Linked DNA regions of Canis lupus familiaris. The protein of the gene in region 2 purifies or fractionates together with the protein of the main gene of each other region. This does not show direct contact. Links are inferred from orthologs where the notes say so. Each region holds a gene or a part of one and is shown on either strand. Other genes may lie near its edges. The genes, in order: MAPK3, DUSP9, MAPK11, MAPK14 and PGRMC1.

The links.
Region 1: the proteins of DUSP9 (region 2) and MAPK3 purify together in Homo sapiens (affinity purification with mass spectrometry; 4 studies listed by BioGRID and IntAct, with this or other methods). This does not show direct contact. The link is inferred for Canis lupus familiaris from reciprocal best matches to the Homo sapiens genes DUSP9 and MAPK3.
Region 3: the proteins of DUSP9 (region 2) and MAPK11 purify together in Homo sapiens (affinity purification with mass spectrometry; 4 studies listed by BioGRID and IntAct, with this or other methods). This does not show direct contact. The link is inferred for Canis lupus familiaris from reciprocal best matches to the Homo sapiens genes DUSP9 and MAPK11.
Region 4: the proteins of DUSP9 (region 2) and MAPK14 purify together in Homo sapiens (affinity purification with mass spectrometry; 8 studies listed by BioGRID and IntAct, counting the BioPlex papers as one, with this or other methods). This does not show direct contact. The link is inferred for Canis lupus familiaris from reciprocal best matches to the Homo sapiens genes DUSP9 and MAPK14.
Region 5: the proteins of DUSP9 (region 2) and PGRMC1 purify together in Homo sapiens (affinity purification with mass spectrometry; 3 studies listed by BioGRID). This does not show direct contact. The link is inferred for Canis lupus familiaris from reciprocal best matches to the Homo sapiens genes DUSP9 and PGRMC1.

The regions. Positions count from the first base shown.
Region 1 is NC_049227.1:18,277,673-18,283,712, reverse strand, and holds the start of MAPK3 (mitogen-activated protein kinase 3), read left to right. Parts: upstream 1-2,110; 5' UTR 2,111-2,124; coding exon 2,125-2,297; intron 2,298-3,311; coding exon 3,312-3,494; intron 3,495-5,342; coding exon 5,343-5,532; intron 5,533-5,710; coding exon 5,711-5,827; intron 5,828-6,040.
Region 2 is NC_049260.1:122,650,521-122,656,569, forward strand, and holds the start of DUSP9 (dual specificity protein phosphatase 9), read left to right. Parts: upstream 1-2,091; 5' UTR 2,092-2,246; intron 2,247-3,068; 5' UTR 3,069-3,205; intron 3,206-3,501; exon of another isoform or gene 3,502-3,769; intron 3,770-4,802; exon of another isoform or gene 4,803-5,130; intron 5,131-6,049. UniProt on the Homo sapiens protein: Inactivates MAP kinases. Has a specificity for the ERK family.
Region 3 is NC_049231.1:17,882,610-17,888,811, reverse strand, and holds the start of MAPK11 (mitogen-activated protein kinase 11), read right to left. Parts: upstream 3,599-6,202; 5' UTR 3,582-3,598; coding exon 3,466-3,581; intron 1,145-3,465; coding exon 1,015-1,144; intron 910-1,014; coding exon 851-909; intron 780-850; coding exon 668-779; intron 594-667; coding exon 564-593; intron 484-563; coding exon 436-483; intron 353-435; coding exon 238-352; intron 1-237. UniProt on the Homo sapiens protein: Serine/threonine kinase which acts as an essential component of the MAP kinase signal transduction pathway.
Region 4 is NC_049233.1:5,325,739-5,331,937, forward strand, and holds the start of MAPK14 (mitogen-activated protein kinase 14), read left to right. Parts: upstream 1-2,016; coding exon 2,017-2,132; intron 2,133-6,199. Other genes in the region: SLC26A8 (testis anion transporter 1), read right to left, coding at 1,146-1,200. UniProt on the Homo sapiens protein: Serine/threonine kinase which acts as an essential component of the MAP kinase signal transduction pathway.
Region 5 is NC_049260.1:92,014,942-92,019,971, reverse strand, and holds the end of PGRMC1 (membrane-associated progesterone receptor component 1), read right to left. Parts: intron 2,600-5,030; coding exon 2,496-2,599; 3' UTR 1,267-2,495; downstream 1-1,266. UniProt on the Homo sapiens protein: Component of a progesterone-binding protein complex. Binds progesterone. Has many reported cellular functions (heme homeostasis, interaction with CYPs). Required for the maintenance of uterine histoarchitecture and normal female reproductive lifespan.

The DNA.
Region 1 (6,040 bases), on a different chromosome or scaffold from region 2:
TCCAAACTCCCTGCCTGAATCCAAGGCCTTCCTCAATCTGGCCCCCAACCTACCTCTTCAGCCTGAACCCCTTTTAATCCTTTATACTGCAGCCACACTAGACAAATCATGCTCCTGCCTCTGTGCTGGGGCTCACGCTGCTCCTTCTCCTTGATGCCTTCCCTCTATGCCGACCTTCCAAAACCCCACTTCTTTTTCCATCGTGCAAATGTTATCTCCTCCTTAGCTCCCTCCCTGTTTCTCTAAAGGAGGGCGATCTCACCAACCCTGAGCTCACACACCATATACGACATCCATCTATCTTGTATTACAGTGATTTATGTATGTGCATCTTTTCTCTTCAATAGATTAGAAACTCCGTGGGTAGAGAGACCAGAGAGTAATCTGCCCAGGGTAACACAGCAAGTAAGTGGTAAAGATGAGATTCTAACCCAGGAAATCCAGACAGCTCTTGCTCTTACCCACTAGTTCACAACTATATAGTAATCTTTCATTAGCCACAGTGCCTACCTAGCTAGGAGTTTTGCACACAGTGCAATTCAATTGCTTATCAAATGAATAATTAAAAACAAAACAAACAAACAAACCTACCCTGAAACATTGATCTAATTAGCATCTCTTAAACCTTCACTGACTTGTAGGCTATTGGGAACCAGCTACTCAGTCTCATTAATCTGAATTAGAGTGCCTGGCTGTAGATCTAATTATGAGCAATTTCAGAATCATAATTACTGTTCCATTTGGTCTCTTGATCTGTAATGCACATAAGGATCTACTCTTAGCTTCTAAGGGATTATAAAACAAACAAACAAACAAAACCCAACGTGGTTACTTACTGAAGGCTAGGAGATGTGTTTTGTGAAGCGTCCAGCTCACAGCTTCTCTGTGAAGTGAGGGGAATGGACTGGATGGCCTCGGAGGGCCCTTTCCTGGGTTTTAACAGGCTCTGATTCTGGGAGATTGAATGGAATTGAAAAGAGCCTCTGCCTCTGTGTCAAAAGATATCATTTTAAGTCTCAACTCCCCATCCATACAATTTGATTTATCCAGTCAAAAATCTTTGAACGTCTGAGCGTCAGGTACAGGGGAGGATACAGTAATGAGCAAGACAGACATGGCCCCTGCTCATCCTGTTAAGAAAATCGGAGGACACCTATAATGTGCGGTTGTCCTATGGAAGAAACCCAGCTGGTCCAAGTATGGTGTAAACTACAAAATCTTGCATCCCATCAAAAGATGGTGATCCTGCCAGGATTCCAGTTTCACCAAGTCCAATGACAACAAAATCGTCACCTATTTTGCTGTTTTTTGAGAGAAGCCTGATAGTGTATTTTAACCAAACCTGGTCAACACTGCAGGCAGCTTTCCCGCCCTTCTGTTGCAGTTCCACCTAAATGGGCTGAGGTTATGGGTGCTCACTTCCAGCACTGTACTGTCGCTGGCAAGAGGCCAAGCCCCTAGTCCACTCTCGCAGGCCTGTCAGAAACCCATTAGGCTGAGTCTGGACCTGCGGGTTCTCGGTGGCTCCAAGTCACCAGCCTCGGCCCCTCATCTGTGAAAGGCAGGCCGTATCTGCGAAGAAGCCATCTCCCACGCTACTGGGAAATGCGGATGCGGCCGTGTGTCGTCGGGCCGAGCCTCGCTCGGAGGCCACACTCCAGAGGGCTGGGGAGGGCCCCCTTGGGGCTCCATCTCGAGCCCCGGGCCGCGACTCGGTTGGCAGCAGAGCTGGCGGGGCCAGGCGACTCGGTCCCGGCCCCAGCTCCCGCACCCGCTTGCTGGGTGGCTCCGGGAAGGTCACCTGGCGGCCCTGCCGGCTATAGCCTGCATTCGGCGGGAGGGGTGCACCGTCTCCCGGCCGCCGCGCTCGTCCCTACGGGCTGCCAGCAGCAGACGGAGCGGCCGGGCACCGGGGACCCGGGCAGCAGCCGAGGGCGCCCGGGAGCGCGCGGGGGTCACGTGGGGCGCGCGGGGGCGCGCGGGGGCGCGCGGGGGCGGGGCCTGGCGCACGCGGCTCAGCCGGCGGCGGGGCGCGGGGCGCGGGGCGCGGGGCGGGCGGGAAGGGGCGGGGCCTCGGGCGGGGCCGCCGGGGGGAGGCGGGGAGGCGGGAGGGGAGGAGTGGAGATGGCGGCGGCGGCGGCGGCTCAGGGGGGCGGGGGCGGGGAGCCCCGGGGAGCCGATGGGGTCGGCCCGGGGGTCTCGGGGGAGGTGGAGGTGGTGAAGGGGCAGCCGTTCGACGTGGGCCCGCGCTACACGGAGCTGCACTACATCGGCGAGGGCGCGTACGGCATGGTCAGGTGAGGGGGCGTTCCGGAGGAGGGGGCTCGTGGGGGGGCGCGCGCGAGGGTGAGTGCCCTCGGGCCGGGGCGCTCCCAGGGTCCCGAGGAGGCGGGGGCTTCACGAGGCCGGCGGGGCGTCCCACGGCGCGGCCCTGGGGTGCTCTGGGGGAGCGGCGCCGCCTACGTTCTAAGGGGAGGGGGCTTGGGAGGCCTCAGGAGCGACCATTCTGTAGTGAAGGGAGGGGCATCGGAGTGTCCGCGGGGGAGCCGTGGGGGGACCCTGGGGACTCTGTGGACGCGGGAGGAGGCGGAGACACGAAGTATTCTTGGGGAGGTGATATCAGTGAGGACCGAGTGAAGGACCCTACTCTGGGGAAAGGATGCCTTGGATTCTCCCAGTGAGGCCTGCCAAGGAGCTGGGGAGAGCAGAGCTCAGGGCTGGGCAGGGTGGGGCAGGGCTTTGGGCCTGGGGCCAGGAGCCCGGTGACCCATGAGGGGTCCAGGGGTGCGTTCTTGCAACTTTTAGAAGGGGTCTGTTAGCTCTCTCGTCCCCACTGTGTGCTCTGGGCCTTTGTTCATCTGGGAACAGCTCTCCTGCCCAGGTGCCTGACCCTAACACCTCATCCCTTCTTTCCCATCCCTCCTGACCGCCTCCTTCTCACTGTGCCTCACTGTGCGTCCTGCACTCACCTCCCACTCCCTGGACCTGTCTTGGGTTGAAGGAGCCCAGCCTGGAGAGGGGAGGATGAGAGGTCAGGGCAACTAGAATGGACAGGGCTGAGGAGAGGGGAAGTCAGTGAACGGTCAGTCTCTTCCTCTGTTTGTGAAGTCACCGAAGGGCTGCCTGGCTGGTCCCCAGCTTTCTCCCTGGAGATCCCAGGCCTTCACAGCAGGAAGGAACCAGCATTGTTTATGACTTGGCCAGAGTCCTCTCATGCTCCCTCCCCTCCCTGCTCAGGCCTGGGTAGGGCCACCAGGCCTGGACTCCCCCTATGTAAGGCCACACCAACAACATCTCTCTGACCCTCTCAGCTCAGCTTACGACCACGTGCGCAAGGTTCGCGTGGCCATCAAGAAAATCAGCCCCTTTGAGCATCAGACCTACTGCCAGCGCACACTGAGGGAGATCCAGATCTTGCTGCGCTTCCGCCATGAGAACGTCATTGGCATTCGGGACATTCTGCGGGCGCCCACCCTGGACGCCATGAGGGATGTGTATCCTTCACCTTGGCCAGATGGCTGGCTAGGCATAGCCTCAGAGCCGGGCTGGGAGAACGTTGGCTTTCTTTCTGTTTCCTTCTTTCCTGCCACACTCCAAAACAAACCCAGCAAATGAAACTTTCCAGCAGAAAAGAGACCACAGAGTGTAAGAGGACTGGGAGGCCTGAGGTGAATCCTGGCCTGCTGTAACCAGGCTGTGTGGCCTTGGGCAAGTCTGTGCTCCATGCTGTGCCTCATTTGGGGGGAGGGTGAGAGTTGGGCTCTATGGGAGCTTTGTCTTTTGACATCTGCATTTCTGTGACGTGACCCAGCCTCTGCCCACAGACAGTTCTTGTTTAACAGATGATGATTCTTTCCTCTCTGGGTCTGCAGACTGGAAGGAAGGCAGGAAGGAAGAAAACTGCCCGTTCTGAAGGGCCTACTATGAGTGAGGTGCAGTGCACGCCAAATGCTTTGACACTTCTTATTCTACCTCCCAGCTGCTGTATGAGATGGGTCTCATCAGCTCCATTTCAAAGATGAGAAAACTGAGGCTCAGAAAGCCCCAAATCAGGTGCTGCTGTTGCTGCCTCCTAACCTCCCCCAGATGAGAACTGTCCTTTCTCTGACATTTCCTGCTCAGAGCCTCACCCCAGTCACCTGTGGACTTGCACTTCGCCCAGGGAGGGACAGCCTTGTCTTTGTTGCCCTCCCCCCCCCACATTGCTTCCCTAGCTTGTCGTCCACTTCCTGTCAGGCCCTGTTGTTAGCAGCTTATAGCACCCATCACCTCTCCCCACCCTACCCACCCCCAGCCAGTCCCAGTTCTCCACCCAAATGTGGGGATTTGTGCTGCACTGTCTGCAGCCCCCACCACAAGCTGTGGGCAGGAAATCTCCACACTCGCCACTAGCTTGCTGTGTGACCTTAAGCAAGTCACTGCATCTTGCTGGGCCTCCTCACCTCTCAAACAGCATAATCGGCCCAGGTGTCTTCAGAAGGCTCTTTCAAGGCTGATTCTAAAAGACAGCCCTGACTTATTCTTTCAGAGAGCAACCAAATGGCATTTATTTATTTATTTATTTATTTACTTAACGTATGTTTAATCTTTGTTTTCTCTTAAAATACCAAAGGACATTTACTCTTCCATCTTCTGATGTATGGCCAGGCACTCTTTGAGGAGGAGCATGCTGTTGGGAGTTTCTCCTCATTTGTCTTGCCCAAACCATTCCCCATAAGGCAGGCATTTATTTTTAAGCAAACATTTATTGCATGCCAGATGGTGTTCACACTATCTCATTTAACCCTCTCAACAGCCATGTGGCTTAGGCATTTATCATAGCAACACTAGTTCATGTTTGCTGAGCACTTACAACATGCTAGGCTCTGGACTGGGCCGGCTGGTTTCCATGGGTCACCTCACTGAGTCTTCATAACTGCTTTCCAAAGAGCCACTCTCTCTCCCCTGCTTTCCACATGAGGAAATGGAGGTGCAGATGGGTTGAGGTCATGAGGCCAATGAGCAGTGGAGTGGGGGTTTGGCCACCAGCAAAACAAGTCCAGAGTGGTTGCTCTTAACCGTGAAGCTTTCCTGCTTCCTGCAGTTTATCATCCCTGCTTTTCCCAATAAGGAAACAGAGGCCACGGAATGGAAGTACTTTTGTTCAGGGGGTGCCAGCCGAGAATGCAGCAAGAGGCCCTGAGCCCAACTGCTGAGCTTGGGCCTTGTCCAGCTCATGATATGGGTTGAGTCTTAGGGACACTAGCTGGAAGGGGATAGGAAGCCTAGCTGCCAAAGTCTGTTCTTCTTAACCAAGCGCCTCCCGCTACCCCCACCTGGGGGGGCTCTTGTGCCATCCTCAGCTACATCGTGCAGGACCTGATGGAGACAGACCTATACAAGTTGCTCAAAAGCCAGCAGCTGAGCAACGACCATGTTTGCTACTTCCTCTACCAGATCCTGCGAGGTCTCAAGTATATCCACTCAGCCAATGTGCTCCACCGGGATTTAAAGCCCTCTAACCTGCTCATCAACACCACCTGCGACCTTAAGGTCAGAGGCTTGGGTGCCTGTCCCCTTGTCCCATGGGTCTGGGGCTTCCAGGTGACCAGTAGACCCCTTGAGTAAACCATCACAAGCAAAGGGAACAGCGTGGGCAGAGGCAGGGTGATATGACCACGTGGGCCTTGGGCCTTGAGCACTGAGCTTAGCAGCCTTGGTTGGCTTCCAGATCTGCGATTTTGGCCTGGCCCGGATTGCCGATCCTGAGCATGACCACACTGGCTTCCTGACAGAATATGTGGCCACGCGCTGGTACCGGGCTCCAGAAATCATGCTTAACTCTAAGGTATGGGGGGGGGGCACCCACCCCTAAAGGGCAGGGGCCAGGTCTCAGAAAGCCCTGGAGCCAGGCATGACCCCCATGATGCAGGAAGTCTGCCTCCAGGCCTCTGCCCTGCTCCTCCCTGGCTGGTATTGAGCCTAGATTGGAGTAGTGGCTTGGCCCAGACAGCAGAGCCCTGTTGAGGCTGGTCCAGGAGCCCACTGCTTTTTCCTCCTC
Region 2 (6,049 bases):
GAGGCCTAGCAGGCCTGCGCCTTCAGAGCCCTCGGCTGGCCTGGCCATGTGGGCTGGCATTCTTCTCCTGCGCCCTGGGTGGGTCCTGTTGCCTGGAGAGCAGAGGCCGTGGGAGGGCTGGGGTGGGAACTTTGCAGGGGTGGGGGGCGGCCTCATTCAATCTAAATGTTCCTCCTCCAGCGTTCAGCCCTGAGTCACTCCAGCGCAGGGTGGGGGTGGGGAGCTGGGGATCGGTTAATCCAACCTTTCGGGGGCAAAAAACCCTCTGCATCAGCTCACCAGGTCTTTGCTGGGGGCTGGCTGAGTGCCTTGGGCCCTGGGCGCAGCCACCATGGATCTTCCCCAAATGGGAGGACCTATGGGGCGGGGGGAGGGTGGGATGAAAACTAGCACCCCTCTTTTTTGGTCTCTGTATGTTTTCACGTTTCGCCTGATAAAATGGTCCTATTACCACGAGGCGCAGCTGCCAGCCTATGGTGATCGCGGCCAAGGCGCCTGACTTCGGAGCACCAGCAGGGCGGCCTGGCAGAGAAACGCGGGGTTCGCGCAGCAGGAGGGCCCACACACAGCCCGCTGGACGCACCTGCGCAGCCTGTTTGCGCCGTTTGGCTCCACGCTGGACCCGGAGCCCCTAAGGCCGAAGGGCGGCTGACAGCACCAGCCTGGCTCTGCGGCTCCCGGGGCCTGCCTGGCAGATGCACCTGCAAGGCCCCGGGGCCAGAGCAAAGGGGGTTTTGGGGTGAGCGTCTGCGGACGCTGGAAGGGGCAAAGGACAAGGCAGGTATGCCGGGCGCTGGCAGCAGGCCCCCCCTGGGGCTCACACATCGCGCCTCCAAAGTGCAGCAAAGCTCGTGGGGCCCTGGGAGGTCACGAGGCCCTCCCCTCTCCCCAGCTCTACAGGTGAGGAAACTGAGGCACCAGAGACCAAGCTGCCCCTCTCCTGTGGTTTCCAGGAAGTGACTCAGGGGAATTCGGCCCAGCTGCAGGCAGGAGCCGGCCTCCCTTGGCTGCCCCCTCATCCATGGCGCTGCTGGCATCCCTGCTCTGCGCGCCTCCCTCCTGATGCCATCCCGGCCTGGCGTCGCCTCGCTCTGGGCTCCCTGAGCAGAGACGCCGGAGGCCTGCCAGCAGCTGGCCCACAGCAGCCCGCAGCCTCCTGCTGCTTCTCTATCCCGTGCCCCACGTGGGGGGGCAAGTCAGCTACCACTGACCTGGGAGCCCCCTGCGCCCCCTCCCTGCCTCCTCTCCCCCACCCCACCCCCCGCAGTGAGTGAGGCCCAGAACCCAGTGCGTCCTGCTGTTGACACTGGAGGGGGGCTTCCGAACCCACTCTGGTGCTGCCACTACATCGTGCTTGACCCCAGGAAGCCACTGCTTCAGTGTCCCTAGCTCTCCGGGGCAGGGGGGGCAGTCCCCTCTGACTCCCGGACTGGTGTGGGCACAAAATGAGGTCCTTGGTGGAGATGCTCGGGGCCTCGGCTGCGGAGGACAGCGAAGTGGGCCGCCACAGTGCCCCCTCTCGGGCCCTCCCCCAATGCCCTGGCTCCACCCCTTCCAGGCACTGAGGCTCAAACGCTATTATTATTAGCCAGAATCTGATACAGGAGAATGGGAGAAGCCAGTGCAGACGGACCTGGGACTGGGGGGGGGGGGGGCAGCACTGTCAGATGGACCCTGTGTGGCAGTAGGCGGTGGCCCTGGGGGCCAAGCTGTGCCCGGTCCTCCACGGGCCCCTTGGCTGCCCTCCCGCGTGGACTCTTGGGTGCCACCCTCCCCCAGCCCAGGTCCCGCCGGGTCAGGTGTCCCCCCACTCCTGCGCCCGAGGCCCGGGCCGGGGCCGCGCGAGCATCCCTCAGGGGGCCGGGGCGGGCGGGGCGGCCAGTCTCGCAGGCGGGAGGAGGGCGGCCCGGGGCGGGGAAGGTGCAGGCCGCGCTCCCTCCGCGCTCGCTCCGCGCTCCCTCCCCGCGCGCCGCCGGCGACATCGCCCCTCCTGGGCAGGGGGCGGAGAAGACGGCGACGGGAGGGGAGGAGGCGGCGGCGGAGGCGGGCTTTGGAGTTTCCCTCCGCAGCGGCGGCGGCGGCGGCCCCTCGGCTCCAGGCGAGGCCGCCGCCTGAGGCTCCGGTGGCGCTCGGTGGCAGCGGCGGTGGCGCTTCCCGCCGCCCGGGCTTCGGAAACTTCCCGGCCGCGACGCGCGGAGCCGGCGCAGGAAGCCGAGCGGATCCGGGGTGAGCGGAGGTGAGCGGAGGTGAGCGGAGCACGCGGCTCCCCGGCGCCCACCCACCCCACCCCCACCCCGCCCGGCCGCCCCCTCCGACGTGAGCGCCTCCACCCTGCACCCCAAAGTCTTGCCAGCGCGCACCCCACGGGGCCGACGCACGCGCCCCTGCGAGCCCCACTCGATCCTGCCCCCTCACACCCCCCGCATCCCGCCCGTGCACCTCCCTGTCCTCGGCCACGCACATCCCCTGCCACTTGCACGCGCGCGCACAAACCGCGCACCGGGGACCTAGTCCTGCAGCGAACGCAGCAGCAGCCCCTGACCCACCGCCCGGCACTGCCCCCAACTCAGGCGAGCACCCATCCCAGACCCTGCCATGCCTCAGTACACACCCAGGCGCGTGCGCGCGCGCACACACACGCGATACATCCCTGCCATAGCTGCACTAACATAGCTCCCCTCGCCGTGCCACCACCATCTCCAACAACCCATATGCTCATTACAGACACCCCACCCACGTTCCCAGCCCAGAGACACTGCGATCCACCTACCCCCGAGTGAAGACCCAAAACTAACTCATGCCCCAGCAGCCGACACTCCCCGCCGCCGCAGCCAGGCCCATTCCCCAGGCGCACACCTCCTGCCTCCCCAGCGTGCACACTCGTACGCCCCAACACGTATGCACACCTGCTGGATTAACCCTCTCTGGCACCCTGCCCCAACCCCGTGGCAAATAGCCCCCAGCACCCCCCCCCCACCCAGCACATGCCCGAGTCCCTCCCACCGCCACCCCCTGACACCTGGCACTCGGGCTCTAGAGGCTGCAGCATTTGGTGGCATCCCTGCCAGGTGCCTCTGGCTCGCCTTTGGCGCCAGCAGCTCGCGTCCTGAGGCCCCCTGGGTGCCAAGCTAAAGCGATCCTGAGTCTCCCCAGCGACTGGCTTGGCCTCTTCCCTAAGAGATAGAGAAGGCACTTGGGGTGCAAGGTACCGTACTTAGCTGTGGGGTGCGGGTGGGGGGAGGCGAGGCAGGGCGAGGTGGCCCAGCTGCGGCCAAACACACGCCGCGGGTGGCCGGGCACGCACGTAGTAGGTGGGTTGGGCGAGGACAGGAGTCTGCTGCAGTGTGTGCGCCTGCATGCGCGGTGAGCGGCGGGCTGTGTGTGCGTGTGCGTGGGGGTCTGTGGGGTGGGAAAATGCGCGTGAGCCTCCGGGAGAAGCAGCACCCGCCGGGGCTCCCTCATGCAACAATTGGTTTCATTCATTCATGACTTCTTTGTTAGCGAGCATTTCTTCTGGGAGCGCCGGCCAGGCCCTGCGCGGGGGGCTGGGGCAGCCTGGGGCCGCTCCGCCTTGGAGGAACTCCCAGTCCTGCGAGGAGCCCGACCGGGAAAGGCAGAAAGCATCCGCGGCGGAAAGTGGATCTGTGGACGAGGCGCCGGATCTGCCAGGGACGCTGGCGCTGGGACTTGTGCTCCCGGCCATGTGACTGGGCCGCCACAGCCGAAACCCTGCCCGCCGCTCGGCCCGGCGGGAACCGGGCGCTTCGGGGTGAGGGGTGGCGGGGGAGGGGGCGCCGCTCCCCGGGGCTCCGGGGCACCGGAGGGCGCACGCGGCGCGCGGGGTCTGCGGCCCCCCAGGGGCGCCGGCCGGGCTGGGTGGAGGCTGGGGGGGCGCCCGGGGGGGGGTGCTGGAGGGGCCGGCTCGGGGCCCACCCTGCGGCGAGCGCGCGGCCTGCGGGCCTGGGGAGCCGGCGCGGGGCGCGGCGGGGCGGGCCCACAGGGGTGCGGGTGCGGGCGGCCGGCGGGGGTCAGGGGGTGGGGGGCTTGGCTGCGCGCAGCCCTGCACTGCGGAGGTGGCAACAGGTTCCAGTTTGTCCTGCTGCTGGCGCAGCGGGCGCTGCTGGCGCCGGGCACCGACTACTCACTTGCGAGATTGGATACTGCGCCCCCCCCCCCCCGGGGCCGCTCCCTCCCGGTTGGTGGGCTTGCCAGCGGCGGGAGCAGGGTGCAGGGGAGCCCCTCCTCGGGCGTTGGGACCCGCAGGCTCGGTACAGCCCACTCGGGGGGACTTTCTTGGAGCCAAGCTTGCTCTCCCTTCAGGGGTGCGAAAGTTGCCCCCAACCCCACCCCACCTCGCCTCACCTCCACCATCTTCCCAGCCAGGCTCCCCCCCCCCCAGCCTTACAGGGAGCCCTCTCCAGAAAGCATGCCTGGGCACCTCAGGAACCCCCAAGCTGCAGCTCTTAGGCTTTGCAGCTTCAGGGAACTGAGGCCCAGAGCGAGAGGAAGGAGAGGACAGGAAGGCTGCCTGGAGGAGGGCACCTGGGGGAGGAGGAGGGGCCGCTGCAAAAGGAGCGGAATCTGACTAGGCTGTGGAGGAGGGAGGTCTGGGCTGGGGGCAGGGGGACACAGCGGGACTCCTCCCAGAGGCCAGGCCGTGGGCCGCAGCCCCACAGGAGCCCTGGGCTGGCAGCGCAAGAGGAGGGGGACCCTGGAGGCCCCTTGGAGGGCCTGGCTCCCCGTAACCTGCCCTCTCCCTAGTGTTACTTCTCCAGTTTTCTCTTCTTATTTCCGTGGCTCAGGAGAGGAGTCTTCATCCGCGGCCCTGAACCTGGTTATCGTAAACGTTGGCCTGCCCGCGGTTTTGCGTCCTCCGCGGCTTAGTTTCCCATCTGGTGGTGCCCGTCCTGTGTGCCTGCCTTTACTCGGTTCCCTGCGGTCGATTCCCAGAAGTGGCCAGAGGGTGTAGGTGTCTTCGTAGCTCTGGACGCCTATGACCAAATGAATACCCAGAAGGGCCACACAGATAGAGAATCCTCCAGCAGCAGCAGTAGAGCAGCAGGCTGACTCTGCAGCATCGTTGGCAGCACTGAGTGTACTCATTGGGAGAACATTTTACCAATGTGACAGGTGGGGAGTGTTGCCTTGTCTCTGAAATGTGCCTGCCTGCCTTCCATACCTGAGCTGGAACCTTCCCCCAGATGTCCTGTGCCCAGGTGCACTCAGTTGCATCTCTTCCCTCATGCGGTCTTTTCTGGTTCCTTGCCCATTTATCAGAGTCTTAACCTTTTGATTAATTTGTATGAGCTTTATCTTATCTGCTCTACATTTTCCTTCAACCCGGCCGTTTGCTCTCAATGGGCTTTAAGCAGGGAAGGGACACTTATCGCACCCAGCATTATGTTGTTCTGTGTCCCTGTTTATCACGCACCTATCCGGCTAAACTGGGAGTGCGGTGCAAGCAGGGCCCCTGTGCGTCCTGCCCTGTGTGTCATCCTGTGCCCGTGGAAGGTATGGAAGCCGCTGGTGTTTAATGAACAAATGGCCTGGGGCAGGGCAGAGCGGGGTGGGGGGGTGGTTGAGGCGGACTGGCCTCCCCGGAGGCAGGGACAGGGGGCTTTGGAAGCCGCGACAGCCACCTGGCCAAGAGTTGGCCAGTGCAAGCCCTCGGCTCGCGCAGGGAGCAGACGGGAGCGTGCAGGTGTGAGAGATGCGCTGAGTACAAAGTCGCTGGCTCGTGACCAGGGAGGAGGCAGAGGGAGATGCCAGGGATGAGTCCCGGGACAGTAACGTGGCAAGAGCAGAGCACCCAAGTTTAGGGCTGGGTACTCAGAGCTCCTGGGTGCCTGGGGTCATTCACTCCTGTGCGAGGGAGGCCCTCGGGGGTCCCCAGAAGCTGTCACATGCCCTTGGGCAGAGTTCAGGGCCAGAAGACAGCAGTGGCTTTCTGCCCTTGCTTCCTCCTCCGACCGTGATCTCAGTGGCAGCCCAGGGCAGCCCAAGGTGGTGGCTGTGATGAGCCCATTGTATAGATGGGGCCGCGAGGTCC
Region 3 (6,202 bases), on a different chromosome or scaffold from region 2:
CGCCCCCGCCCCCTCCCGAGAAGTAGGGCCGCGCAGACTGTGCCGCACCCTGGTCACACCCAGGCCCCCAACCAGCAGAGCCCTTACTCCCCTAGATACAACTCTGGGCAAGGGGCAGTTAGCCCGGGACCCGCTGCGCTCAAGTGACGGCCCCGGACCTTGCCTGGGCTCAGGTCTGGACACAGATGCCGCCCAGGCCCTAACGCAACATGTCTGCCCCGCCCGCGCAGGCCTCACCCGTCTGGTTGTAGTGCATCCAGTTGAGCATGATCTCAGGTGCACGGTACCAGCGCGTGGCCACGTAGCCGGTCATCTCCTCATCAGCCTGGCGGGCTAGCCCGAAGTCCAGGATCTAGGGCGACCCCCGGGCTCGTCAGCGCCTCCCTGAAAGCACCCCCGCACCGGCCCGCGGGCCCTCTCCAGCGGGCGGCTCACCCTGAGCTCGCAGTCCTCGTTCACGGCCACGTTGCTGGGCTTCAGGTCCTGGAGGGCAGGTGGGGCGTGAGCGGGAGGAGGGGGGCGCTGGGCCTGCACAAGCCCGCCCTCTCCGGCGGTGCACCTACCCGGTGGATGATCCCCGCGGAGTGGATGTACTGCGAGGGGGAGACCGTGGGAGCGTCAGGTGCCAGCCAGCACGGCCCGCCCCGCACCCCCCACGTGCGCCCACCTTCAGGCCGCGCAGCAACTGGTAAACCAGGAACTGGACGTGTTCGTCGCTCAGCGCCTGGCACTTGACGATGTTGTTCAGGTCGGCGCCCATCAGGGTGGTCACCAGGTACCTGGGAGGGGTCAGGGGTCAGCAGGCAGCCCCCACAATGCGCTCCCGAGCCCCGCATCAGCTGCCACTCACACTTCGCTGAAGTCCTCAATGGAGGTGGCCGGCGTGAACACGTCCAGCAGCCCGATGACCTGCGTGGGGACGGGCGTCAGGACTCGGCGAGGCGCCCTGGGGCTGTGTGCCCCGTGTGTGCCCCACCCCCACCCCGCTGACCTGCCCCGGCGCTCCAGGCTCACATTCTCATGCTTCAGATGCTTGAGCAGGCGCAGCTCGCGGTAAGTTCTCCGTGCGTGGATCAGCGACTGGAAGGGGCGCGACAGTTTCTTCACCGCCACCTTCTGGCGCAGCCGTGTGTCGTAGGCCGAGCTGCAAGGTGGGTGAGTGAGGCGGCGGGGTGGGGGCTGGCCATGCACCCAGGGCCCCTGCCTTTTTCAGAGGGCCCCTCGGGTGCACCACTGTCCATGTGGCCAGCCCGAGTCCAGCACCTGGGGAGCCTCTCCTCTGTGCCTCGTTCCTCAAGGGGCACCCACTCTCCAGTCCCCCTTCCCACACACATCCCAGCCATCCCAGGTCCCTGCCTGCCCCGCCTGGGACCCATGGGGCAGGATCTGGATCTTCTCCCCACAATCCAGCATGAGGCTGGGGGACAAACTCCACCAACCAGGTCAGGAAAACAGACATTGTGAACCATCCCCTTTCACCCCAAACGGTCCTCCTGCTCCCCTATGGGCCCACCACTCGTGGAGGCCCCCCCGGGTTCCAGAGCTACCTCCAGAGCCCCTGGACCCCCCCCACCTCTGAATATTCAAAATATGGATAAAAAGCTAGCTGAAAACGTTTACTGCGTTATTATTTCTAAGAGTGAGAAACTGGACTATACGAAGCATTCAGCAGAGGGTGGTGTCTGGACCCACAAAACATTCCCCTAGGCCCGCCCCACCCCCCAAGTTCCAGAAGTTCCACTGCACACCAGCTTCCACACCCCTCCACTCTGCACTGGAAACATCGTCTCCACACGCAAACGGCCTGTCACCGCTGGGCCCTCCCAGAGTTGCCGGCCTGGCCCTGGGGCCGCACTAGGCGTCCTACCTTTACAGGGACCAGGTCCTCACTGCTGCTCAGCCCTTCCCTCCCTCTCCTTTACCTGCACCCTCTAGAATTGTGCTTCCCCCAGGAGTGCATGCTGTCTACATGGGGAGCGGCTCCTGCAGCACCTGAGGTGCTCACGGGGCCCGGGGCAGGGGTGCAGGAAACCCAGTAGGTGTCTCGGGCCTCCATGCCCCTTCCTCCAGGCTGTAGCTTTTGGGGGAAGGTCCACGTCCCTTCTGGGGACACAAGCAGGGGAGTGGCCCCTCACGTGGGGCAGCAGATCCTTTGCTCAACTGTGTGTGCAAACTGAGTGACAAAAATGGGCACTGGGTCACAGCTTCACAGAACACGGGAGCCCAGGCGAGGGCCATTGCCTGCACTGGAGCACCGGCGCGTGCGGGCAGTGGGGAGAGACCCAGGGCTCCCCCGGGGAGTGTGATGCTCCCTAGGGACCCAAGCGATTCCAGCAAGACTCTATATTCCCCAGAGGCCACCTATGCACTGTCCTGATCCTCTTGCCTTTGAGGTCCGTCTTAGGGATGAAGACAGGCCCGAGGCTGGAATGCATAGGACAGCCAGCCTGGGGCCTCCCACACGTCGGCCAGTGACAACAGATGGGGGGACAGCAGCCCTGCTCCAGGCCCCAGCACTGAGCCCCTGGAGGGGTCAGGAAGTCCCCCAGGAGCAATGCCCCATCCCTAGGGGCTCCGGCCTCCCCATGTCTAAGACCTCCCCAGCCATCTGGCTGAGGCCTTGGGAAGGACCCCACTGGTTTTGGGGAGCACCTCTCAACATCCACATCCACACTCAGCTGGTCAGTATTGCAACTGCACTCCGAGTTCCCGTAAGCACCTTACCCTAAACCCCTCAGTGCCTCCCTAACCCTACACAGGTCTCAGCCAAGTCCCTTCCTCGCTCCCACTTGCAGACTGTCCTCGGGGGCCCAGGGACCAGGTGCGGGCTGTAGCCTGAGGTCTCCTGGTTAGAGCAAAAATGGAGTGGGGTGTAGGCCGACCCCACAAGTATGGTAGGGGGAGACGGCAGGCATCTCTGCTGGGCCCTCGGAGGGGGACGGCAGGCATCTCTGCTGGGCCCTCGGCCCCATCCAGAGTCTGAGACCCTTGGGAAACGGGAGGGGCAGGACCGGCCCCGGAGTTGGAGGCCATTGCAAGGGGAGGGGTCCTACCCCCCCCCCCAAGTTGGGTTCTTTTCTTTTGCAAACAGAAGTACTGGCTGGTACCGCACCTGCCAGACCCCGGGGTGCCGGCCCTTGCCTGGGGGCGAGGCGCACTCTCACGCGTGTAGGGCCCGGGGAGCCGCCCTTCCGCCGACCGTGACGCCGCAGGACCGGGGCCTCGGGGCGCTGGGGGGGGACGACCCCTCCCCGCAGCCCCGGGCCGCGTCCGGGGAAAGTTTCCTTCCGCCCCCGCCCCCATCCTCCGCGGCGGCCGGGATGGCCCGGGGCGGGGGCGCGCGAGGCCCCTCCCCACGCCGCGCTGCCGGCCGAGGGAGGGAGGGAGGGAGGAGGGGAGGGGGGAGGGGGGAGGGGGCGCGCCCCGGTCCCGCCCGCGCCGCCGCGCCCTGCCCGCCGCCCCTACCAGACCGAGCCGTAGGCGCCGGAGCCCACCGGGCGCAGCCCCTGCAGCCGCCGCGGCACCTCCCACACCGTCTTGTTGAGCTCCTGCCGGTAGAAGCCTGCGCGCGGGCCCGACATGGCCGAAGCGGCCGCCGCCCGCCCGCCCCGCCCCTGCCCCCGCCCGCCCGCGCCCCCGCCGGAGCCCCAGCCCCAGCCCGAGCCCCAGCCCCAGCCCGAGCCGCAGCCCGAGCCGAGCGCACGGAGGGCGGCGGGAGGAGGCGGCGGCGCGGGGCGGGGCCGGGGAGCGCGGGGCCCGACGCGCGGCTTCCTGCCCCAGCCGGGCGGTGTCTGGGCGGACGGCTGCCCCCCGCCCCATCCGGGGCCCGCACCCCTAACCCCTGCGCCCCGCCCCCTCCCGGGCCCCGCACCCCGCACCCCCTCCCGCACCCCTCCCGGGCCCCGCACACTCCCCCCCCGCCCCGCACCCTTCCTCCCGCACCCCTCCCGGGCCCCGCACCCCCCCCCCGCCCCCTGCCGGGCCCCGCACCCCCAGCCTCCGGCTGCAGCGCGCGCTCGCCGGGGCACCGCCCTGCCCGCAGCCTCAGCTCCCCGCCCCCTCCCCTGCCGGCACCGCGGGTCCGCGCACCGGCCCCCCCCACCCCCCGCTCCGGGCCCTGCACGACACCCCTGCGCAGCTGCATAGGAAACGCCGCCCAAGGAACCCGAACACTTGGTGGGACGTGGCCGTGGGGCAGGCAGGTGGGTGGCCCGGCCCCCCCCCGCCGCCCCGCCCGCGCCGTGGCCCGTGTCCGGGGCCTCCAGTGGCTGCGCGGCGGCTCCCGCTCGGGGCTGGCCTGGGCACCGCCGGGGGCGAGGCGCTGCTGGTGCGGCCCGAGGACCAGCCCCTTCAGGACCAGGGACAGCGGCAGCGCCCGGCCACCTCTGAGGTGCTGTACCCACAAACAGCTGCCCCCAACCGGGCCCCTTCGGTTCCCAGCTCCTCTCCTCCTAACCCCCTTCCGCCGCCACCTCTTGCGAGAAGCCCACCCTGACTTTCCCATGTCCTGCGCGGCTCCTCCGGGGCATCACCGCAGCTCGTTCCCTGTGTCCCCTCGGCAGCGCTGCCCGTCCCTCACCCCGAAGGGCGGCCTCGCCTCTGTCCGGTGCTGGGCTCGCGCACCTCTCCTTCCCCCTCAAAGGTGACCAGCACTGCCGGGTGACAGGTGCCTTCGGACGCGCGATGAGGGCGGGGGCAGGGCTGGCACCTCCGGGGACATGGCAGCCACGCCCTCTTCCAAACAAACCAAACCCTGAGATTTTATGTGAAATCTGCTGGCTTTAAATACCAGCAGCCAAATTAAAGCAAAGCGTTGTCAGGGCAGCACCGGGCAAACGTCACTGCCCGGCGCATCGGGACTGCAGCGTGAGCCGAGCCCCGCCCGCGGCCAGCCTGGCAGGACCCCGGCCTCAGTTTCCCCTCTGGGACCCCGGTGTCCCCGCCCCGCGGGGCGGTGCCTGGGTTTTGTGCGGAGCCAGTGCAGCTTCAGCTGAAGGCGGGGAGGGGGCGGCCTTTGTTAGCGCTGGGGGTGCCCCCAGGTTCCCATGGCGACAGGGCCCTCCTCCCGGCCAGCGTCCTGCCCGGAGGACAGAGCTCCATGGGAGGGACCCCGGTGGGACCCCTGCTGGGCCTTCCCACAATGCCATCCCGGCCACTGGCTGCAGGAGGTGGCTGCGGCCAGGTGACAGGCCTGGTGGCCTGCAGCGGAGAGCAGCGGGGAGCGGCAGGTGCCTCAGGTGGGAGCTGGGTCCCGGTGGGGAAGCCGCGGGGAAGATGCCGGCCCTGGGCCTCGGGACCCCATCCCGGTCTCCCCACTCCTTCGCTGTTATCCCTTGGTGTCCAAGGTCTCTCTCCTCTCCGTGTCCCCTCCACTGCCCAGGCCACCCGTAGGCCGGCAGGAGCTCCCCTGAGCTCCTCACATGGAGGCCCCTGATTCCGGGGAGGGGTCACTGGTTTGAAAGCAGGGTAGGGCCTTGGGCAGCTTTCTGCAACTTGGCAGGAAAGGTCATGGAGGCCGTGTGCTTCCTCCTGTCCTTGCCCCCACCTGCCCCACAGGGACACGGGGAAGTGGACACGGGAGGGTGGGTCATCGTCAGTTTGTCATGGCGACCACTCCAGGCTGGCCTGCCCCACCCCAACATCCACACCCAGTCTCTACCCTCACTGGCCCTAGAAGGACACCTCCTGCCCTCTGAGGGGGGGTAAACCCCCGTTGGGCCTGCAGCCCTTCCTCCACTGCCTGCATGCCCCCCAGAATGTGAGGGGTCCTCACTGGCTGCCCAGTTGGGGGCTGGCAGGAGTGGCTGGTGGAGGGCTGGCAGCCAGGCCCCAGGTTCCCACCTCCGCCTGCTCCAGGTGCCCCCAGCTTAGCTCTTCCAGAAGGTACCCCACCTGCTTCTGAACAGCTGAATCTTGGGGAACAGTGTGGCTCATAACCGTGTCACCTAGAGGTCCTTGGGGTGGGGGACGTCAGCTGTTTGCCTCGCACCTTTTCCTTGCGAGAGGTAGCCACACTTGTTCCGTGAGGCTTGAATGGGGCTGCCCCTGTGTGCAGGGGGTCCCGCCGAGGCCTAGCCTGTCCAGGGCCAAAAGGAAGCCTCAGTGGGGGAGACGGTGTGGGGCGGCCCGAGGACACAGCAGCAAGTGTGGGGAAGCTGCAGACATGTGGGCAACTGGATGCAGCCGTGTCAGGCTGGCTGCA
Region 4 (6,199 bases), on a different chromosome or scaffold from region 2:
TTGAAAGAGTGACTGAATGTACTGTTTAGTTCATTTTTACCCTTTCAGTCACTCCCACTTCACTATCCCAATTTGGTGGATAATCATGAATTCCTTAGGTTCATTCCTACTGCCGAGTTTCCTCCCTTGTATCCATCCACTCATCACCTTGATTGCCCACTCCCACCCGCCATTTCTTTCCAATCACATTTTTGCTTCTCGCCTCTTCCTTCAACCTTCATTACTTCTTGGAGGGCTCCCTAAACTGCAGGTAGCCTTGGAACATTTTCAAGCAGCATGTCTTCATAGGCGAGAGAATCCAGACTAAGCCACATCGGATCCTCCAAGAAAAGCTTTCCAGGAATGACCCATGACTCTGGTTTTTATTTTTGTTTTTCCTTGAGGAGAACTGAGGATCCTGCACTCTCTCCTAAGTTGAGATCATGGTCATTATTCATAATTTGTTCAATAAATATTTATGGGGTACCTATTATATTCTAGGCACTGTGCTAGGTGCTGGGACAAGATATGCAAAATCTGAGCATTCTAAAGGATGCACGACACGAAAGAGAATAATCACGGGAAGGGTTGAGAGGTGTCCTGGCTTGGACCCAGTTACTTCTAAGAGACATTGTAACAAACTTTAACAAAGGAATAAGTTGGTTACAGTGGCTGTAGGCATGGTTATATAGTATCTTGCTCACTCACACTTACTATCTTGTTCAGCTTTACAGGTAACCCTATTAGGCGCGGATGTAAGGCAGGAATTACTTTTGCAGAAGCTGGAACTAGAGTCTAAGAGAGGTCAATAGACTTGCCTAATAGGACACCCTCTGCCTTGCTCTCCTTAACCTGAGGCAAGAATCAAGCTTCAGAGCAGGATTCAGTTTCAAACCCTCAGAAGTACTCTTTTCAAAAATCCTTCTCCAAGGGGGATGCGGGAGACTTTCCTGAATCAGAACTGCCTGGAGCATATTATAAAAATGCGCGTTCTTGGCGCCTATCACCGACCTATCCACTTAGACTCCCTGTGGGTCCTGGGACTTGGCTTTTTTTTTTTTTTTTTTTTTTTAACACTCCAAGTGTTCTTTTGCACATAAACGTTTAAAGACCGTTAGGAGAGTTTGGGTGGAAAACCTCAGACTTAACGTAGAGCTAATACTTGCTTTCGGGATAGGGTCCGTCACAGTTCCGAAGATTAAGCCGTATGTCCCCGAACATGGAATAACGGCTTTCTGGCTGGAACCTTCCTTTTCCAAATGTAAGTATTTCTTGGAAGTTGGAGGTTCTGCTGAGCAGATGCTCGGCTGCTGGTGACTACCGGCAGTTCAAAGATCTTTTGGCTCTTTTCCCGACACCCTATTAGTCGCCGTCGCCTCCCGCCACGGAGCCGGGCGTTTGCCCCGCCGACCACGGTGGGGCGCACGCGGCATACGTTGCCTGCCTGTCCCTCCCTTTCCCGGGTCCGCCTTCGCGCCCTTAAGAGCAGTCCCCGAGAGTTCCTGCCTCTGGTCTCCAGCTGTTGCCCTTTTCTCGCGAGAAGTGCTCCTCCCATCCTCTCCGGTAGTCCACCCCCTCCCGTGGGCAGGTTCCATATTGGGTAAAATCTCGGCTCGCGGAGAGTCCCGGGAGCTGGTCTCGCGAGAGTACGGCTAGCGACTCCTGTTCGCTGGCTCTGGAACGGCGATCACTGGAACTTGAGCGGGCGCTGCAGCTGGAGCCGCAGTTCCGCGGCGCAGCCCGGGGTCGGCCTGGTCGGGGAGAGGGTGCAGGGAGAGCGTGGTGGGCGCAGCCCTGAGCCCCGCAGCCTGCCCCTGCCCTTCACCGGGCTCGCCCGGCAGCTGCGGCTGACAGGGGCCGCGCGCGCGGGAGTCGGCGGGGTCGCGTCTGCCGCACCTGCGCCGACTGCCAGCTCCGGGTCCCCGCCCGGCCCGGCGGGCAACGAGGGCCCGGGAGCGGGAGCGGGAGCGGGTGCGGGTGCGGGCGCAGGCGGGGCCCCTCAGGGCCACCTCCTAGCCCCGCGGCCGCCGCTGGAAGATGTCTCAGGAGAGGCCCACGTTCTACCGGCAGGAGCTGAATAAGACAATCTGGGAGGTGCCCGAGCGTTACCAGAACCTGTCCCCGGTGGGCTCCGGCGCCTACGGCTCCGTGTGGTGAGTGTCACCGGGCTTGGGTCTGCGGCGGGCTTGGTGGCCTCAGCACCCCAGAACCAGGCCTGCCCACACAGCTCAGCGATGCACCAAGCGGTAGGAATTTTCTCTGGGGGAGGGCATCGTTGCCCATTCGACCCCTGTGCTGCACGCCCGGGACCCCCTTGCACCCCTCACTCTGCACCCCCAGGGAGGCGGTCGGCTGTGTGCAGGATGCAGGTCCACGGTGGGCGGTGGTGCTGGAGCTCGGCCCTGCCTCGCACCCTGCGCAATCCCTTCTGGGGGGGTGGCTGCTCGGGGGAGGGGGGCTGGCACAGAGGCCGGGGCGTCTCTCCGGGGGTGGGGGGTGTCTCCCTGCCAGCCTCGAGCCGAAGGAGCCTCTCCGGAGGTGCAGCCACTCTGGGCGCGCGGGAGCCTGCCCTCCAAGCAGACAAGCCCGGGGGGGCTGCAGGGAGAAGCAGAAGGGCCAAGCTCTACGGGAGACTGCGAGCGTCGGAACAAAACTGACGACCAAGGGCTTTCTGCCCTGGCTTTTTTTTTTTTTTTTTTTTGCAGACCTCTTTCGAAATCTCATTTCGAGAGGCATTCTTTTCGAATTCGCACTTGCATTAGCAGCGACCCAAAGAACCGAAAATACCGACTTTATCTCGGCCAGCCTAGTGCCAGCTTGAGTTGTGTGTTTCCGATTCTGTTGAAAGCGTATTTCCTTTTCGCTGAGTGGGGGTGGGTGGTAGTGCCTGCAAGAACACTGCAGCTTGAGAAACTGGCGGCTTCACTGATTAGTCACATACCACTGCTCATTTAAGTATTGTTTGGCAAAAACAGTTTTTTCACTTGGAGCAAGTGAGATTCAGATCCGTTGGACGCGCTCAAGATCAAAGAATCATGAGCAATCTGGGGAGGTATTGTAAGTATTTCTTAATTGCAGTACATCTTGTGAATATTGTGTTTTTAAACTTCTTTAGAGAGTTCGCAGGGAACTGATCTACATTTGTAGCCTGAGGTACACGATGGTTTTCATAAGGATAGGGAATATATAGCAAAGGAAGGGAGAGACACTTCTCAGCTTTAATTCACACTGTGTTTTAAATTAAATCGATCCAATAAAATTCTTGGATCTAAAATATTTCACTAGTTTAGGTATTACACACCATATTTTAGAGTTACTGTAACTTGAGAGCTGCTGATCTGAAACTAATTCCTGTATTCATGTGAATCATTTGAAAAGGGCTCCATAAGATTTTGGGAGGGTGGGGGTGGGGGTGAGGGAAACGAATTCCAGACTTTTGGATGTGTTAATCTTTATAATTCTTGTGTTTCTTAAAGTCACATCATGAATTTCCTGTTTGCTAGAATCTTCTGGGTAATTGAGATTGTGCAATTGTGTCAAGCAACAGATCATATTGCATTTTCTAGTTCAAGCTGCGTGAGTTCATCTTGCTGATGGTCCCGTGCTTGACATCTTTTCCTCATTTTTATAATATGGCAGTTTACGTTTTAAGGGAATTTGCAACATTTTACTGTATCCATCTATATGTGTGATTGATTTGCAAATTTTCAGAGATATATTTGGATCATGGCTCCTTTAATAGCTTATTATTTTACCACTCTTTTTCATTCTGTTATGTCATAATTGACATTAATTTTCGTAGTACCAAGTTTCTGTTTCCAATGATGTTTAAACTTTAATGAAATGATACAGCAGAATAGCTCAACTATGGGGAGTTTAGTGGACCTGAAAACAACTGCTTGCAAGGTCTTCCTACTGTTGGTATGAATAGCTCTGTCCTGGAACTGCAGATTCAGATTTAGAGTGAAGTATCATAAAAATGACCTTTACATTTCCTTAGTACTATACTTTTTTGGCTTACAGAAGCCAGAAATATCTGACACTTGGAAGTGATTTTGTTAAACATATTTTAAAAAATATGTATAGAATTATATACACATTGTATAAAATTCAAAAGGCGTAAAAGGATATTTAACGAAAGGTATCCTTTCCTTTCTTGTTCTCCAACTGTGCTATTCCTTTCCTCTGAGACAGCCCCTGTTAAGTTTCTTATGTGTCTTTACAAGGAGGCAGAGCCCATTCATTTGTTTTTAGTAGTATTTCTGTTGAGGGATTTAAAGTGTGACATATGGTATATTGGTGGAAGAGAATGCATCTTATGTGTGTCAGTTGACTATGGCAAATATAATTGATTTTGGATTGAAAATATCAGAATTTAGATATACATAAGTAAGTGGCATCTCATTCAGAATTATTTGAAGTTATTCTTTCAGTTCTTTCAGATTCTTAGCAGTGTTTTGGGTGTTGCAGCAAACTTTTTTTTTTTTTTTTTTTTTAATTTCTCTTACAGCATTCTGGAGCCTGTGTTATTTTTCACTGCCATCATCCTTTAAGAACAGATTTGATTTTAGGGAATAAGAAAATCAAGCTGAATTCAAATAATTTAGAGAATTTGTACTCAAGTCTGGCGAGAAAGATTAGGCATTCAGGTTGGTCTTGTTTTAGGTCAAATAGGAGTTATAACTATAAAGTAATGACAGAATTTCTTGTGTGACTTGTAGAACTGGATCTGAAGTCTGTTCCGAAAAAGAATCTCTGAAAGCATTTTAAGGAATGCAACCTCACGCAAATATCTGTCAGTTTCCTAATTTGATTGCTCCTAAGTGTGATATACTTTGATGTATATTAAAAGTTTTTTATGTTAAGCCTATTTTCTCATTTTAATTTTCACTAAGTCTACAGTAAAAAGGCAAGCAGCAGCCTGTATGCTATGAATCCAAGATCAAGGAATCAGACTAGAAATTGAAAATTGATAAGGTTTTATTTTTTTAATTTTTCAATTTTTTAAAAAATTGATAAGGTTTTATAATATACCTTTCCTTTTTAAAAGGTAAAGGGAACTAAATAAGTCTTGCAGTTTTAAGGAACTTTGTTGCATTGTCTGTGAGGGGAAATGAAGCAAAATTGTTTAAGAATACTTTGTTGCAAAGCATTGATTTTCTGGTTTTGGGACAGAAGGAGGGACTCTTTGTGGTGAGTTTAAGGAAATATAAACAGGAACTTAAATGCCTTTCCTCTGGGTATGGTTTTTCCAGACCCTTGCTGTTGATTAGAGGAGGTGGGGCCCTGGTAGCCATAAAATAGGTAGCCATAAAATAAAAAATACTCTTAAGTCATAGTCCTTTGTTGATTCAACAACACTGAATACCAGCTACGGACTAGATAATGGGCTAGGTTTCATGAGATAGAGTGCTGAGCAAGACAGTGAGATAATCCATTCCCTCGTCAAGCTAAGTCTAATGTGAATAAAAAAACTACATTTTATGGATTGCTTACTGTTCTAGGCATTTTACTGTGTAGTTTATATTTATCACGAGTGTATTTAGCCTATGCAAGATTTTTTAGTGAGAGGATGGCAAAACTTACTAAGAAATCAAATCCAGCTTCCTAAATGCTCTGTGGAATAAGACTGTATATACATGAATATAATAAACAAAGCTAAGGTTTAGTGTTAATAGCCATTCACTGTTTTAAATCTTTTATTCTTTTCTTTTAGGATGAGCCAGGGCACAGATAAATGAAAATACATCATTATTGACTATGCAAAGATGACTTTCTTGACTCCTAATCAGTAAGAGGGGCCTGCCCTTTACTTTTCTGGTGACGATAGTAGGCCCTTACTGAACTTTCTTCCCATTTGCTTTTCTTTGTAACCGAAAGCAAGATGGTTCACTGCATGTTGCCAGTACCAACAACAAATAGATATTTAAAGATAATTGCAAATATTTATGTTATTGATATATAAACATAAAGAATTAAAAAAAATAATTCAGTCAAATTTGTTATAAAGTAATTTTTCTAATTGAATCCCATTTTGATGGATTCTGATGCTTTTCTCTGGCTCCCATTTTAAAATGAGGGTATCCTGAACCTCTGGCTTTTCAGTTCTGCCAGCTTAATTTCTTGATATTGAAGAGTACTCTGTTTTTGATTTCTCTCTAACTCAGCCTCAGAGATGATGTGTGTGTTGACTTTGCCTTTCATGGGCAATGGTGCAGAT
Region 5 (5,030 bases), about 31 Mb from region 2:
GTAACCACCACGCCCATCTTGAATGGCACCTTTTATATAATGTGGTTTTGGAATATGCTAGCTGGATTTGAGAAGTTTTTAGACCAGAGTCCTGCCTTATAGTAATAGCCTTTTACATGTAATCAATATAATGTTGATTTCATTCGGAATGGCGGGGAATTGGGTTAGAGATCGAAGCTTTAGCCAGGCTCTGGACGATTTCCTCTTGGCATCAGACAAACCCATTTAACTCGGAAGGAGTAGCCTGATCTTCACTTCGGTCTAAATGGGATTTCAGGGTGCAAGGTGGCCCAACTTTTCTCCCTCCCACCCCCTTCCCCAAAGCACACGGTATAACAGGGTGTTTGGCACAAAATGGGCAACTCAGATATCAGTTGAATGAAAGCAAGTTGGGGGGATAGGCTCATTTAAAAACAACAGAAACAGGCAATGGTTTGGAAACAGAAAAACTGGAAAGCTGCAAGCTTTCAGGTCAGAATACTTCCCTTGTAATAAGACTCTGCCAACTTGAATGTTAAAATGACAAAACATCAATATTCAGAGAAAGACGTGTTTACACAATGAACTGCATATGCAAATTTGATCTTTTGACAAGAGGTGAATTGATTTTGCTAGGATAGAAGAATTCCTGAATACTTTCCTGATCAGATGATATCTGAAAACAGAACCAACGCTGCCTTGGCACTTTTTATGCCCTTAGTAAAGCTACCCCGTAATAACCTTGCTCTGGACCTCAAGGCAGAGGTGCCTCTGAGTTTAGAGGCAGAATTTGACAAGTCACAAAAAATAAATTTACTAATTTAAAAAACAATGTTGGTTTTTGCATTTTCATTAGGGCAGGCTAGCTAATCTCATTTCACTGGTTTTTTAAAAAAGATTTTATATATTTGAAAGAGTACATGAGTGGGGAGAGAGGGGCAGAGGGAGAAGCAGACCCTCCCTGAGCAGGGAGCCTAGACACAGAACTCCGAGATCATGACTTGAGCCAAAGGGAGATGCTAAACCTACTGAGCCACGCAGGCACCCCTCAATTCACTATTTAACAGGACAAGCTGGTATTTGGTTTTCGGTGTGAGGCCTCTGCAGTTTTGCTCCTTTACTGGAATACACACACACACACACACACACACACACACACACTCATGCATGCGCACACACACCCCCCCAAAAGGGGAGCTGAGCATTAAGCTAAAGTAAAATGATTGAATCTGGTTTCTTAGGTTAAGGTTTAAGAAACCTTAAAAGGTTTAAAAACCCACCACACTATACTGGGTAAAACCATTTTATTAACTGACCAAAGCACTTCATTTTGTTTTCTGATTTGAGGTAAAACCATTAAACACGGTTCACAAGAAAATACAAGAACTATTCAACTACAGTTACAAGAGTTTGAAACCTCACTAGTTGTTCATATAATACTTTTACAAATTCATACAACTGTACAGTCTACTTAAGCTAAGTTTATTGTTAACCAAAAGACCAATATCAAAGACCTTGACTCTTGCCCTACTACTCTTGCAGTGGCTATGGTTTTGTAACAAGGGAAGAATAACTGTTACCTTAAGAAATATACGTTAAAAACCATTTGGCTAGTAATGTGTACTTTCTTCATTCCTCAGGGGCGTGTGTTGTGCGGTGTATGTGTAGGCTCTCCAGAGGGCAAACGCCTGCTTCTGTTCACCATAATCCCTCTCACGGCAAAAACTGTGTGAAATCAACACTGTCCCACTGTGAACATGGGGATTGGGGAAATAGTTCTACATTTTCTTTGTATATTTAGGTTTTTCGGGAAGCCAGTAGATTTCTTCCGAAGCTTTCTTTTGAACATTCAGATGGTGTTTTTAGAGCCTTATTATACATTGCTGTGTTAGTGGGGGCTTCTAAGTGTCCAGAGGAGGACAAAAAGAATGATGCAGTCTAGAAACACAGTGAATGTATTTTTCTCAACCAAGCCCAGCTTTAAGATTTCTTTCTTTTTTCCTGGGCAGCTCTCTTTAGTCAATACCAAGGCAGGCTTTGGAACACTGCAGATTTGCTTTAGAGGTAGATAAAACAGAAATCATGCAGTTAAGTCAATTGAGGAGGAAGGGCTTTGCACTCTTGAGGACATCAGGACCAGAAGGGGATCCTTTTTTTCGGGACTAGAAGGACTTTTCCCATTTAACATTTTTACCTGTTTGGGGGAAATACCCAAGTCTTACCTGTCTCTCTCAGGAAAAACTAAAGGCAGCCTGCACTAACTACAGACAGAAGGAGAGTGCCAACATTTGGATTACGGCACTGCAGTTCACGGTCTGGGTCTGTGACACACAAACACGTCATGCACTTGGAGACAGAGGTTAATTATATCAGTGTCACTAGTGATGTTAATTACAAAAACTTACAGCAAGTTCGAAACTTCTCTAAATATCGAAATCACCATGTTTTAAAGACAGACTGGAATGTTACAAATGATTCTGCAAAATACAAAAATAGATATGCTTCCACTGGGTGCTTTAATCATTTTTCCGAGCATTCTCATCTTTTGCTTCTTCCTCATCAGAGTACACAGTGGGCTCCTCCCCCTCCTTCAGCAGTTTGCCCACATGATGATACTTGACTGGAGGGAGAGAAGAAAACACAAATGAGCACTCTCACGCTTTACAGAGAACCGCTACATTTCATTGGAAAGCATTCGGTAGAGGCCTACCGCCTGTGCTGCAATGTGCTGGGCTTCTCGAAGTTGTCAATCACAGAGGACATACAGCACAGTCCTTGCCAATGGGGAATTAAGAGTTTCATTCAGGAGAAATACAGAACAGGTAGTGATGTCGGGCACTGGGAAGGTCCCAGGGAGTCGTATTTGTGGACAGGAGGGGGTGAGAAGAGCAAGGGCTCATGAGCTGTGAGTGAGGATTCTAGAACACCCTCCCAAAGAAGGCAATGCTTTGGGAAATGCACGGAAGGATCTGAGACGAGAGGGGTTTCCAGAAAATGGAATTGCAGTGTACAAAAAGGCATGCAGGGGAGATGTAACAGATCTGGAGAGCCATAGAGAGACCAAGCTGACAGCAACAGTGGGAGTGCAGATGGCTAAGCAGTGTGGGTAAATATTACGAAGGTTGTGGAAAGCCAACCTGAAGCATTTGGACCTAATCCTATAGGTGGCAAAAGTGTGTGACAAAAGAACGACACAGGAAACCAGTGCTTTGGCCAACATGGGATGGTGGTGGCATATCAGGCGGATTAGAGCCAGGAGACCAGGCGCAGGCTGCCCGGGGCGGGGTGGGGGGGCAGTGGGTAGATCTGTGTGTGAAGGAACAAGAGCCAGGAGTAGGGTGTCCATGGGAACAGAAAGGCTAGGATATGAGCTACTTTAAAGGAAAATGGAAACGTGAGTTGATGAAGTTAAGCCTGGAGCTTCCATGAACCAAACTGAGAGCTCTGGAGAGGGAGCCCCTCTGTGGGTGGGTGGGGGGCACGCAACAGGAAGTCCACAAGGGCTGGAAAAGTGAAGTTAATATTGGCAAGAAGCAGGTTCCTGGAAACCTCTGAGAAAGAAAAGTTCAGTGGAATTGTGGGGCAGCAAACTGTCTCAGAGAGTAAGGAAGTATGGGGAGGAAATGAAGTAGTGGTTGGGGACAAGCACTTCTCAGATGGTTGGTGGTGAAGGGATGAGGAGTCTAGTGGATGAACGAAAGCAGGAGACTGAATGTTTTCTCCACCCCAGGAAAAAAGCTGTGCAGGGCAGTTAAAGAAAGTGATTAAGGAGGCAGGAGAGCACTGGAGATGTTGGAGAAAACAGACTTAAGACTGCAAACCAGAAACTCAGCCACCAAAAAGAATGAAATCTTGCCATTTGCAGTGATGTGGATGGAGCTAGAGTGTATGATGCTAAGCAAGATTAACTCAGTCAGAGAAAGACAAATACCATATGATGTCACTCGTGGAGTTTAAGGAACAAAGCAGATGAACCATAGGGGAAGGGAGGGAAAAATAAAGATGAAAACAGAGAGGGAGGAAAACCATAAGAGACTCTTAACTATAGAGAACTGAGGGTCGCTGGAGGGGATGGGGGGATGGGGTTAGGGTTAAACTGGGTGATGGGCATTAAGGTGGGCACGTGATGGAATGAGCACTGGGCATTGTATGCAACTCAAGAAATCACTAAACTCTACCTCTGAAACTAAGAATACAGTATAGATTACTTAAACTGAATTTCAATAAAAATTTTTTTAAAAAGGAGAGAGGGGATAGAGTCAACAGACCACCAACCACCACACTGGCTGTTCTCTTGTGGCCCAGCTAACACAGGGTTAATCTTATCAATGTCAGAGGCCTAGAGGGCTGAGAGTCTCCTCTTTCTGCATATGGGTAGAAATTAGAGGAGTAACCAACCTGTCTAACCAGGTAGCCAGGCCTGCTTTTGTGTGAAATAATCACTGGAAACAATAGGAACTTCCCTATTTGAACATGTTATGAAGGTCCCTAGGGTGCTCAGGACTGTGCAAGACAAAAGCTGGGTGGCGCCCAAGAAACCTGCTTGAAGGAGAGTCCACACCAGTCTCGAGTGGAGCTCAAGTGTCAACACAGAATATGGGCCTGGTCTTATTAGTTTAAGGGGGAGAAAGTTTTTATGGTTTTTACCTCCCTGGTGAAGGCAAGCCCTAGAAGATTGAGCTTTGTTAAGTCAGAAATTACAACTCGGCAGCTCCACATAAAAGAACCTCTGTTTACAAAGGCATCCTTTGGATACAAATAAAAAAAAAAATCAGGGACGATGTTAGTTGAATTGTGTTTTCAAAGTAAAAACCTGCCTCTAGACCTGAAAGCTACACTTCTGTCCAGTTGGGACCCAAAACTTGAAGGTGGAGTGAGTCACAGCTAGCTAATAATTAACCCAGACTCTGAAGTCAGCATTATTTTCAAAGAAAATGGTTGGATTCAGCCAAAAGAGTCAGTAATATTTAACTGGCTATAGAGAACAGCAAACAGAAAAGATAAATTTGAAAATAAAACATCTTGAAGTGATGGTCACAGTCTTTATATAC